Linked DNA regions of Coturnix japonica. The protein of the gene in region 2 interacts with the protein of the main gene of each other region in a biochemical or structural test. Links are inferred from orthologs where the notes say so. Each region holds a gene or a part of one and is shown on either strand. Other genes may lie near its edges.

Evidence for each region.
Region 1: the proteins of PDZD2 (region 2) and CTNND2 form a complex in vitro, tested with the Homo sapiens proteins (2 studies listed by BioGRID and IntAct, with this or other methods). The link is inferred for Coturnix japonica from reciprocal best matches to the Homo sapiens genes PDZD2 and CTNND2.
Region 3: the proteins of PDZD2 (region 2) and PKP4 form a complex in vitro, tested with the Homo sapiens proteins (2 studies listed by BioGRID and IntAct, with this or other methods). The link is inferred for Coturnix japonica from reciprocal best matches to the Homo sapiens genes PDZD2 and PKP4.

The regions. Positions count from the first base shown.
Region 1 is NC_029517.1:52,588,528-52,592,177, forward strand, and holds part of CTNND2 (catenin delta-2), read right to left. Parts: intron 1,457-3,650; coding exon 1,271-1,456; intron 1-1,270. UniProt on the Homo sapiens protein: Has a critical role in neuronal development, particularly in the formation and/or maintenance of dendritic spines and synapses. Involved in the regulation of Wnt signaling.
Region 2 is NC_029547.1:8,871,810-8,875,936, reverse strand, and holds the start of PDZD2 (PDZ domain-containing protein 2), read left to right. Parts: upstream 1-1,285; 5' UTR 1,286-1,394; intron 1,395-4,127.
Region 3 is NC_029522.1:33,222,152-33,225,801, reverse strand, and holds part of PKP4 (plakophilin-4), read right to left. Parts: intron 2,210-3,650; coding exon 1,993-2,209; intron 1,279-1,992; coding exon 1,146-1,278; intron 645-1,145; coding exon 431-644; intron 1-430. UniProt on the Homo sapiens protein: Plays a role as a regulator of Rho activity during cytokinesis. May play a role in junctional plaques.

The sequences.
Region 1 (3,650 bases), on a different chromosome or scaffold from region 2:
CCCCAACAAGAGGTCATAATAAATACAAGATATCTGATGACTGTAGAGTTTAACAAGAAGAGCTGGTGAAATTAAAAGCCTTACCAGTCACAAGAGCTTACTAACCATAAGCATGAATCTTAGCTCATATTCCTCTAACTTTCCCAGATTAATAGATGCCGCCTTTATGAACCAAGTATTTCCACTAGCGGTTTAAATCATTTACTCAAATACCTTGTCTGCCTAATTGCTTATTCAAATGAGTATTGTCTTTGAGCAATCTGAAAGAGAAATAGGTGGTAACGGAAAGGACCAAATCTATTAAAAGAAATACCTGTAGCTGTCACAGCTAGAAGAAAATCCTAAGTCAGTTGCCATTCTCAACACTACCTAGGATATTTACTGATACAACATGGTCTATAATATCATTACTAGCATCCTTAGGTTTTTTAATCAGAATAAGAAAATAATAAAATAAACACAATATTAACTTAAATGCACAGTAACGTGATGGAAAGGATAGCAACAACAGCAGGATAGCAAGATCCTAGTCTTTATCAAGACCCTAGGCTTCAAAAAGTGAGGACTTGCTCAAATGCAACAGCTGCGAGCGCAAAAACAAAGGAAAGAAGTAACTAACCTTCAGAAGGCCTCAAGCAGGCAGGGGTCTCCAGCAGGAAACCCTTGCTTTCACTGCTAGCCCATAAATGAGGTCTGGTAAGGAGTGGATTCTGACTCCACCCTTTCCAGTCACTCAGGTTCATTGCATGCAGCTGAGCTCCCCCAGGTTGGCTCTGCCTTCCCACCAGGTGCTCAATCACTGAGTTAAGCTGTGACTTAGCATTTCTGCTACATGCATCTAAAATGAAAGCCAGTCAGATAACTTACGCAAAATTACAACTGTAATTTCCAATCTTTGGAAACAGCGCTAATTACATGAAAACATATGTGTTTTCTGCATATTCACTCATATAGCTTAATTTGGTTCTAGACAGTGTTCTCTTAAAATGCAGAAGCAGAGTATGAAACTAATCCTGAAACAAATACACATATATAAATTGGTCAAGCACTGGAACAGGCTGTCCAGGAAACAGTCCCCAACCCTAGTTCAAGAGATATGTGGATATGGTACTAGGGGAAATGGTTTAGTGATGGGTCTCAGTAGGCAACAGTTATACACATCATGCCCCATGTGCTTAATGTGCATTAATTACTCTTCATGATACAATAATCAATTTTCACGATGGACACTCCAACTTCTTGCAATGCAGCTGCAAGTATCTTTCATTACCTGATCCTGTGATTTCTTTTTCTTCTTCTTCTTCCCCCAGCATCCTGAACTCTCTGCATCTTTTCCATTGGCATCACCACAGAGTAATCCATCAAGTTCATCTGTTCCCATCTGCTGTCCCTGAGATGTTTCTGCAGCTAGCCTGTATGAGAGGTTCCTCAAAATGCACACACAGTTTTCAACGGTCTGAAAAGTGTGACAAAACAAAAACAAACAAACAAACAAACCAATAACAAAACAAATAAAAGAAAAAAATAATAAAAGAAGTTAAAATACTTCCCTTGCTCATTCTGTATACAAAGCAGATGAAACATAACTGATCTTTCCAGATACATTTTCCCAGTACAATTCTTATCTGCACGTTTCTGAGTACCTCCTTGGTAACCACTGCTTAAGAGATTTAGAAAATCTGGCAGGGTCTCACACACTCTTTTATGGAAAAAAAACCAACAAACAAAAAACAGTCTCAGCAATATTTTTCCATGAGATTTTTATTGTCATCCTGAACTTCATACAGGAGCCTTATGTGAAACAAAAAATGAAAATGGCAATGGTTTTGTATGTTTGTTGGCTTTAAACCAAAAGAAACACTTATTTCTGCAATCATATCGGTGATAATTGTCAGAACAAATGGGTTCCAAGTTCTGTTTCTGAAATATTTGTAGCATAAACTGATTATGTTTCTGTAGGCTAAAGAGCAAGACTATGAATTTCAGTGGACTTGATGTTTTTACTGCTTTTAGTCAGGCTGCAAATAATTTGTGGACAGCTTTTTCCTTTCTTCTATTTGTCCCCTAAATAGATTGGGCCTTCTGTAAAAGATGCTGCTGGGAATTCTGAAACAGACCCAGGGGAAGAAAAAGATGGCATTGGTAATTCAGCATAATTTCTGCAAGTCTAAAAGAAGTTCAGTTTTAGACTTGTTTAAATCCTGTTCATTTTGTTGGTTCAATTTGGTTTTGCTATCCATTACAAGATGAATCAGCATTTATTCTATTTTATGAAGGTAGAGAGCATGGTTAAGAAAAAGTCATTATCTGACTGTATCTATTTCAACTGTTCCTAGTGCTCTATAGATACAGAAGCAATAGTAACTACATTCCAGCTCTGTTGCTCCACTAACCCAGAAGAGAGTGAGTACGAGGTTTCAGCTCTATCCTACTCTGCCATATTCACCAGCCAGGCAAGCAGATGGAGCTGCATTTACTTCCATGTATTGTATGAGCTTATGCCTTGTAATATTTGGCACAGCTTTTGAGACAGCAAAGTTCTAAAGTTCTAGAGAGGGTACTAAACAGACTCATCTAGACAGGATCTTTTTTTTTTTTTTTTTTAAAGGAGACGAAACTTCAAATTAAACTTGCACTGATTTGAAATCTCCAGCCAAACACACAAACATATACAGAAAAATATACATAGAAAAATGCAAAACTTTCTAGATTATCTTTCCTCCCTGAATGCTATGACCTTGTAGTGACCACAGTATTTTTCTAAGTTTACTACCTTTGACATTTCTTTAGTATTTCCAGGTTTGAATCTTATTGACTCTTGCTAATAGTTACTTCTGTACAACTGCAACTTGCTTAAGTTGCAGCTTTGTGTTGATTAAAGTTTGACATTTTATTGTCCCTTCTTATGAGTATTAATTTTCACACTTTAAATTCTCATTCTGTAAAGAAAACAGTTTTAACTGAGTCTACCACAAGGACAGTGTTACCTTGCAGTAGAAACTGATAATGCCTCAAATGCAACTGACACCTTTGCCATTTGGATGAACTCATACAAGAAAAGAAAGTAGGTTTTATTCTTTCTGATTTGTAGCTCTGAACTTCCAAGGGACCTTGTGTTCCTCTTTCCTACAGATATTTCTTACATTTCATCATGAATAGCCACTAGATTAAAAAGTGATTTAGAGGCAGTTATTCAAATATTGGGTTTAATTAAAATCACTTTCAACTTTGGGAAAAGGATGCAAGACCTCTGGCAACAATATGGAGTTTTGCATTTAGCTGCACAAGTGCTTTATGTCATAGTTAAAATCCTGCTAGACGGGAGGTTAAAACTAATCAGGCAGGGAGAATAATTCTTCTCTCATGTCCTCATTTTTTCCTCTGTATCGCAGCCTACAGATTTTACAAAGTCGTAACAGCTACAAATGAGAGCATAAATGGAATATTTTATATTAGTGATAAGAGGCAAAACAGAGAGCTTACTGTGCTACTTATTTAACCCTTTTAATAGTATAACAACCTTGAAATCAGCTCAGTCATCTATGAAGAAGGAGCATCAGCGAAGCTGTGAGAAAGGCAGCAATTTACTTGCACCACCTTAATCTACCTCTTCATCTCCTCCACTGAAGTTCCCTGTCTTCTCCATTCTT
Region 2 (4,127 bases):
CAGTGTCGTATCTTTTCTACTTTTTGGCCTGACATCAAGAAGTAGAAGCAGTGATAGATTTACATCACAGAACTGAATGCCAGTAGCTGCCTTGAAAAGCATACAGAAAAACTGCTGGTTATGAGCACCAGCTTTGCTTTGTTGGTGTGATCCTGCCTGGAGCCAAATGCTCTGCAGCAGGAGCCCCGGGCCTCAGTGCTTCATAGCATTTTCTTATGGGATGTGGGGGAAACACGTATGCTGTTCCTGCTTCACCCCCTCACCCACCCATCTTGCTTTCTTGCTACTTCACAGAGCTGCCTGGGAACAGGAGGGCCGATCTGTAAGCGTGGCATTCTCACAGGGACAAATCACAAACAGAGCATTACTTACTGACCAATCCCTGGAAAAAGAGTGGAAAAATCACAGCAGAGGATTGAATCCGTCCAAGAGTGAACTCAGAATGGCCTGGCAGGGCACGGGGCATCCCATGGGTGCTGCTGCTGCTGCTTTGCCAAGCAGCTCCAGGTAACCCTGCTCCCAGCTTTGGCCTTGGGTATATAATCGGTGCAGACACTGTTGCGAGCTATCAGCTTCAAAGGAGAGTTGTGGAGAACCTTGGTGTGTGGCTACCTGTCACAGTCTTTCATAAAGGCAGTCCTTCAGAGGTTCTTTGGTTCTTCTGAACTCTTTTTAAGATTTAATGTTAGGCCTGTAAACCTTGGACAGGGTGCAAGTCAGGAAGGGACTCTGGCTTGAGAGAAATCAGAGCTGCTGACCGCTTCCTTTTGTGCTGCCAGGAAAAGTGAGCCTGAAGAGCAACACAACATTGGAAAACATGTTTTTGCTTTAATAATCTGAAGTTCTGAATAAAGAAGGAACTTTAAAGAAAAAATAAATAAATAAAAAGGGAAGAAAAAAAAAATAGAAAGGTGTTGTTTTATCTCTTTTAAATGGGAAATTCAATGTTCATTTCAACCCTCTTTGGAAATTGCACTTTCTGCTGAGTGAGAACCGGAGATAGAAGCAATACAGGGGAAACAGTCTCGGGAACATCCGAAAATACCAACACCGCGCCCCGCACGCTGCGTTCCCCTCATAGGCGGGGGCTTCGGGCACCGCTCCCCGCAGCTCAGCTCCTGCCCCGGGGGAACCACCGGACCTGGCTCCCGGGGCGGGGGGCTGGGGGGGAGGGTGGCTCCCGGCGGGGCGGGTTTGGCGGCACCGCCCCGCGCCGGGCTCCGGAGCTGCCCGCCCCGTCGGGGCCGCCCCCGCCGCTCCCCGGGCCGGGCCGGGCGGGCAGCGCGGAGAAGCGGAGCGGTGCGGAGAGGGAGAGACAGCGGGCTGGGGGGCGGCCGGCCCTGAGGGGCGGGCAGGGATCGGGGCTGTGCGTAGTGCCCCGCGGCTCCTCCGAGGTGAGTGGGGAGCGCGGAGCGGGGAGGCGGCCGGTGCTGGTCCCGGTGGCGGCTTCGCTCCCGCGGGGAGCGGTGCGGTGCGGGGCTGCGCTGGGCTGACTGCTGCCCCCCCCGGCAGCGGTGGGCTGCATCCCCCGGCTGTCGGTGAGGTGCGTGCTCGCGGGCTGTCCATCTCCAGGGGGCGGTGGGCGCCTCCCCCGTTGCCTGCGGCTCCTTCTGCGGGGCTCTGTAGTGTGCGTGCCGCAGCCGAGGGACTGGGGTGCTTCTCCTCCCCAACCCCCGGGGTCGGTGGGATTCTTTCCCAGGGACTTTGTGACCCGCAGCCAGCAGGGCGCATCCTTCTGTGGTCGGTGGGGCACAGCCCCGCAGGTGTCAGCAGGGTCGGTCCATCCCCCAGGGATTGGTGTGGTTTCATCCCTGGTTGAGTGGGGCTCATCCCCTGGTCTGATGGGACCCTCAGCTGGCTTTGCTGACCCCAGTGCATCCACGTGGAGGGCAGCGGGGGCTCTGACCCTACTATGTTGCCTTATGCAGTCTCCCTGTGATGTGGATTAGATCCCACTATGACCGTGTGTGTGAGTGACTTGCAGTGCACCAGGGTGCTGGGGATATGAGCAAGAGGGGTGCAGTCACATAAGAACACCCCCCTGCATGCAGCAGAGTAATAAAATCAGCATGAAACATCTGGCTGATCTCTCCCCCCCTTCACCACTAACCCTCCCCCCCCTCCCCCCAAATAATAATAAAGTAGTTCTCTACACTGTGAAATACTCCTGTCCACACAAAGCAGGCTGAGATAGGTGCAATATTGTAAGCCTGGGAGCAGTTATGGATGAGATGAGTTAGAGGAGAGCATCAGGAGCTGACCTCCAGCTCTGAAGTTAATTGTGCTGCCCCTCCTTGGGCGGCAGAGGTCCGCAGTTCAACCTGTCTGAAGGTCCCTGACTGTAGTCCTTTACTGCAGAAAACTCTTGCGCTCCTTTGAAAGTGTTTTAAATGAACTTCATACAGCCCATCCCGTTAACCTCCATGCTTTCCCTCGGTAGCCTTTTAATGAGCAGTAACCTCCCTGATCATCCTTTGGCAGTGTGTCAGGTCCCTGTGCTGGCTGGGAGGGCGAGTGAAGGGACATCTCTGTGCCACCTCACCACTGTCCCTTGGGAGCTGCAGGGATACTATGGGACACCATCCTGATGTCCCAAATCAGCTTCTTGGTTCCAGCCATCACAGCTCAGGAATTTCACTTGCTGTTGGCAGAAGAAGCAGCTGTGAGCAGATAGTGAAGCTTGGTCAAAGTTCCTTTACCTTCATTTTGAGGCAGGTGGCTGTGTGCTTTGCAGCCCTCACTTTCACACCCAGAGTTCACTCAAGTTGCAAAGATGATGCTATTTCCTCCAGAGAACTCACCAACTTTGCTGATTGTAGAGTGGCCTCTACATCTCTTATGCGGTCCTTGCACTGGAGGAGTCATCTGCTGAGCTCACAGTGTGCAGACATGCAACCTGCAACGTTATTGAGTTAATTTTCTCAACAACAAAATGCTTGAATGCAAATAGAATGTAAAACATGCCTTTGAAGTCTTCTTCTTTTTTTTTTTTTTTCTTTAAAATTATTCAATGCTTAGCCTAGAGGAAATCTATTCTTTCACTTTTAAAAACTCACCAACATTTTACAGAAGCAGAATGTGATTTTTTTGGGTTTTTTTTTGTTTTAATTAAGTAAGAAAAAGAACTAAGTCCTCTGATTTTCCTGATGTGAGGCCTTTTTTTATGTCCCCTTTACCATGTTGGGGGACCACTACTCTAGGTAATGTGAAAAGCTTTGCTGGAGGAATGGAGAGCAGCACCAACCTCTGCTTGTGGGTGTCTCTTGTTGGGTTGTTTGGCAGTGCTGTTGAAGCCCAACATCTGTGTTGTAAGAGCCACATTTCAGAGGACTTCAGAGTTGCACGTCTTTATGTTGTTGGTGTCTTGTTCAGTTCTTGGTGGCTTCATAGAATAAGGAATGGCTGTAGGCAGGAGTCTGGCTGTGTGCAGGAGTGCACGGTGTGTGATGGGACCTCAAGGTCCATCCGCCTTAGTTCATCATCACAAGTGTTGTGAAATGCTTGGTTCCATTTATTTGCTGTAGAAATGAGTTTCTGCATCCTGCCTTTAAAATCCAAGTCATGACATCTGTGCAAAAAAAAAATCTTGCTCTTGTTTTTGTCACTGTTTTAGCTATAAATCTTCTATATGTCACACGCCATGGCTCTTGGCAGGTCAGTTGGGTTGTCCTAAGTCAAAAGCTGTGGATTTTATCAATGGAAATATACAAGTAAGTCATTCCTACAATTCTTTTCTGAGTCTTATTGCTGAACATACATGGCTTTGCTGTGTTGTACACATTTTTGCACTGATGTTTCTGTCTTTCTTGCCATCAGTACAGGGCTTGTTCTTCTGCCAGGTTTCCTGCAGGTGCCAATAGGAGCTTAACATAGCATTCTTACCCCTAATGGGTTCAAACCTCTTAGAAACTCCGTTAGACAAATGCAGAATTAAAAAAAATAAAAAATAAAGTAAAATCAACAAACTTTGAACCAGGCAACACGAAGTCAGGAAATGCAGGGGCTGGGGCTCCAACAGCAATATTAACTTGGCTGCAGTGCACATCCTGTGCACTCTTAATGGCATAAGTCTTATAATGTATACAGGAATATGCACGTAGGGTAATATATGCAGAGAGAGAGTAGAA
Region 3 (3,650 bases), on a different chromosome or scaffold from region 2:
TCCAAAAATAGTCAGCAAAGCTGCCACGATAGGACTTTCTTCACCCTGATGTAACATTCTCTCCTATTCAAGTTGATGTATTTGGCATCCCCCATCCTGGCTGGCTGTCCAGGGTACGAGCTCTTTGAGGAAGGAGCAGGAAGGTGAGAGGACAGCCCCCACAGAACGCCCTAAAGGGGCACTGCACTGCGGAACCTTGGGGCAGTAACCGCAGGATTCACTTCTCCCCCTGAACCTGTACTTCTGTGCTAACGCTTTTAGCTGTTACTAATCAAAATCTGTGGTTTTGTATTGATGAAATACTGATGCTCAAATACAAATCCAGCCAATATACTCAATTCCAGTCACTTACTGGTTATTTCTAGGTCTTATCCACGTCAGAACCATTATCTGTGCTACAGTTCTGCATCAGTCTCTATCCAAACCATACCTGTTACGAGCTCTTTTATTTCTGCATCAACAGATTTTCTTAACAACCGCAGAAGCGCAGGGATCCCACCAACGTTCTTCATTGCTATCTTGTTTTCATCAGTAGACTTTCCATACACCAGGTTTCTCAGTGCACCACACGCGTTCTTCTGAACCTCCAGGACTCTGTGATCCAGGAGATCCACCAGGTGTTTGATCCCTCCCAGCCGACACACCTGGGAAGCAGCACAGGAATATCAGGTTGGATGAGATGCAGTTTTGTGCACATAATTCAAGATAAAACTGGAGTTAGAAAATCATTCCCGAGACTTTTGTTTTGCTGAGTCAGTAATTTATTTACATAGGATTTATTGTGCAAATGACAAATAAAACCTGCACATGAATGGAAAAGCAAATTCCTTTAGCATCTGCCTATAGACATCAACAGTTCCATGAACACAGGTGTCAAGAAACGTACTCTGCATTTCTGCTAGATCACACTGCCCATCATTAGACTTATTCACATCACTTCCAGCTGCTATGCAGGAAAGGTGTGTGTGTTTGTCTGCACACGTCTGTCCACACGTGTATTTCAATACTGACATACACCCAGAGCAAACAAACACACGAGGTCCAGAATATGGTGTTGCAACAAGAAAGGAAAACAAAGACCAGAGCTCCAGTTGCTCCTTTAGTTTATGGCTTCCCCCAGATCAGAAATGCTCTCACTGCAGTACCTCTGTTTTCACTTTGTTATCTCCAAAGCACAAATGCTGAAGGTAGGCAGCCGCGTTCGCCTGGACCGATGGGAACTGGTGCTGGAGCATGTGAATGACCTCAGGCAGCTCTGGATCTCTCCAAGCAAACTCCCTTTGTTGGACAAACACATTCAAGGAAAGGCATTACTTACAAATGTGTGTTTATTTACTAAGTAGAACTAGGAGAATATCTTAAGTATTGCATAACAATTCTGGAGTATTGGGGGTAGGAGAAAAACCAATTACATTAGAACAGCTATGTCACATCAGCTTCTAGTCTTCTTACTGGAAAAGGACCCTTCATTTTCTGTGCTCTTGTGTTGGTTTGGTTGTTGACAAAACAGATTCATGTAATAAAACTCTACCAACTAAAACACTGCAACCTACATCAGTCTCTGTGAGCTGAAGTGCATAATGCAAGATGCACACTGAACATTGCAGTATCTTTTCCTCTGCATTCAGAGTCAATTCAGACCTGACCTGCAGTCAGGTCTCCCTAGAATCCACTCACCATAAAGGGAAAGTTCAGTTACTGACCTTGTTTGCATTGCTACTCTGAGATTTATTTCTCCCTAACAACAATAGAAAACAATAATGTGGCTGAAGGGGACCCTCAGAGGTGATCCAGAACAACTGCCCCGTCACTTCTGGCTAACCAAAACCTAACAGCGCGTTACCTACATGCACCTTGAACACGTGGGCCACCTTGATCTGTTCCAGAGTGTGACCACCCCCACAGCAACAACACAAAGACTTCTCTCCCAAAGACAGTAAATATCACCTTATGACAAGTATGTTTGGTTCTTGAGAGCACAAGTGGACTTGCCTGGGGTCTTTTTGAATGCTATCTATGGATGGAGATCGCGTGGTCCCATCGTCGGCGGGCGCTGTGTGCTGCAGCCTGTTATAGGCAGACTCTGACAGGCGGTACTGCATTGACCTGTAGGGTTCCGCATAGGTAGCAGTTGTGTTCAGAGCATAATTATTTCTTTGGTATGTGAGTGTGCTACGCTGACTGGATGATCTTTGCAGATTTCCAACTCCTAGTATAAAATTAGTATTAAAACAAACCAGGTAACAAATGTCTATTGAAGAGAAGAGACAATACAAAGTTAAAAGTGTAAGCAAAAAAAATCAGTCTAAAAAAGGTGCATAGTGCTCAATGTTGAAAGCTGCCGCCAGTTGTAAGGGAACAGTTACTCAGCATCCCAGAGAAGACAGAGAGGCTGGCTGCAGAGATATAGGTTTGGTGGAATCAGGCTTATGCCCCAGCTTGCCTGAGCATTTAAAGAAAGATACGCATCTTGTGCCATTAAGGAGAAATTAGGATGCAAAATGTTTTAAGGTGTATAATAAAATTCAATTACCAACAGTAACTTCAATTTGCCAACAGTACTAAAAAGAAAAAGGAAAAAGAATTAAACAAAAAGTTATATAGTTTGTTTTCCATTTTACTTTCACAATTACTTGCATATTTTCCCTGAATAAAAGCTAGTAAGGGGATGATTTCCAAGTATTAAGCTAATGGTTTCCGGGTCAGGGACATGGATGTAGCTTCCTGACTCAGCAGAACTGTTGTGCTAACTTCTTTATTTCTAAGGTAACTGCTCTCAGGTGGACAAATGAGCAGAGAATTCACATTTCTAGTTGTATCTGGTAGATATAGTGGCATACCTTGACAAACTGCATCTACTGTATGCTGTGGAAGAGAGGAAAACTGCAAAAGCCTCCTTCACTCTGCTGTGCTCTTTGTATTTCAGGAATGAAATGCACGAAGAAGCAATTTTCAGATGTACAAATGTAAGACACGTGAATTGGACACTTCTCCGTAAATATGTCTAGAGTTTAGTTGGATAACTCTCATGTTTCCACACTGTTTAGAAATTAATCAGATACACCAATACTTTACAGAGAGTCAGTTCTGATACTACTACTAACGCCCATGCACTTCATGATCTGCCAGTAGCAATTCTACCAACTACGACAGAAATGTTTCATTTTCACTGCACTGTGTTCAGATGTAGCTCTCTGACATTATCCTCAGCTAGAACGGGAGGTAAAAGCTGTATTTCTATTGTGAAAGATACGGTAGGTAATTCAGTTGTGCAAGTTATTATTTTACTGCCCTGATAAATTTAAACAGGTAAAAAAGAACACGCTCAGCTGGTATTTGAACGATGCACGGAGAATGGAAGAGCAAGCAGTAAAATGTTTATGTCATGAAATACTCTGCTTGGATGTACCAAGTGCATGCCATCAAAGAACACATTCTGAGCCTAACCTGACACTGACATACAGCCCAAAGTATTTCCTGCAAACATCATAACAACTTTAAATTCCTGCTGGTCATTTAAGTACCTCCAGCCTAGTTCCTGCCCACACTGATTTGCGGCACGTAGTTTCTCCTTTGAAATCAAAGATACCTATCTCCTATATGCCATAGGCCCCAAAAAAGCTACGTAAATCAAGCACAGCTCTGGTGCA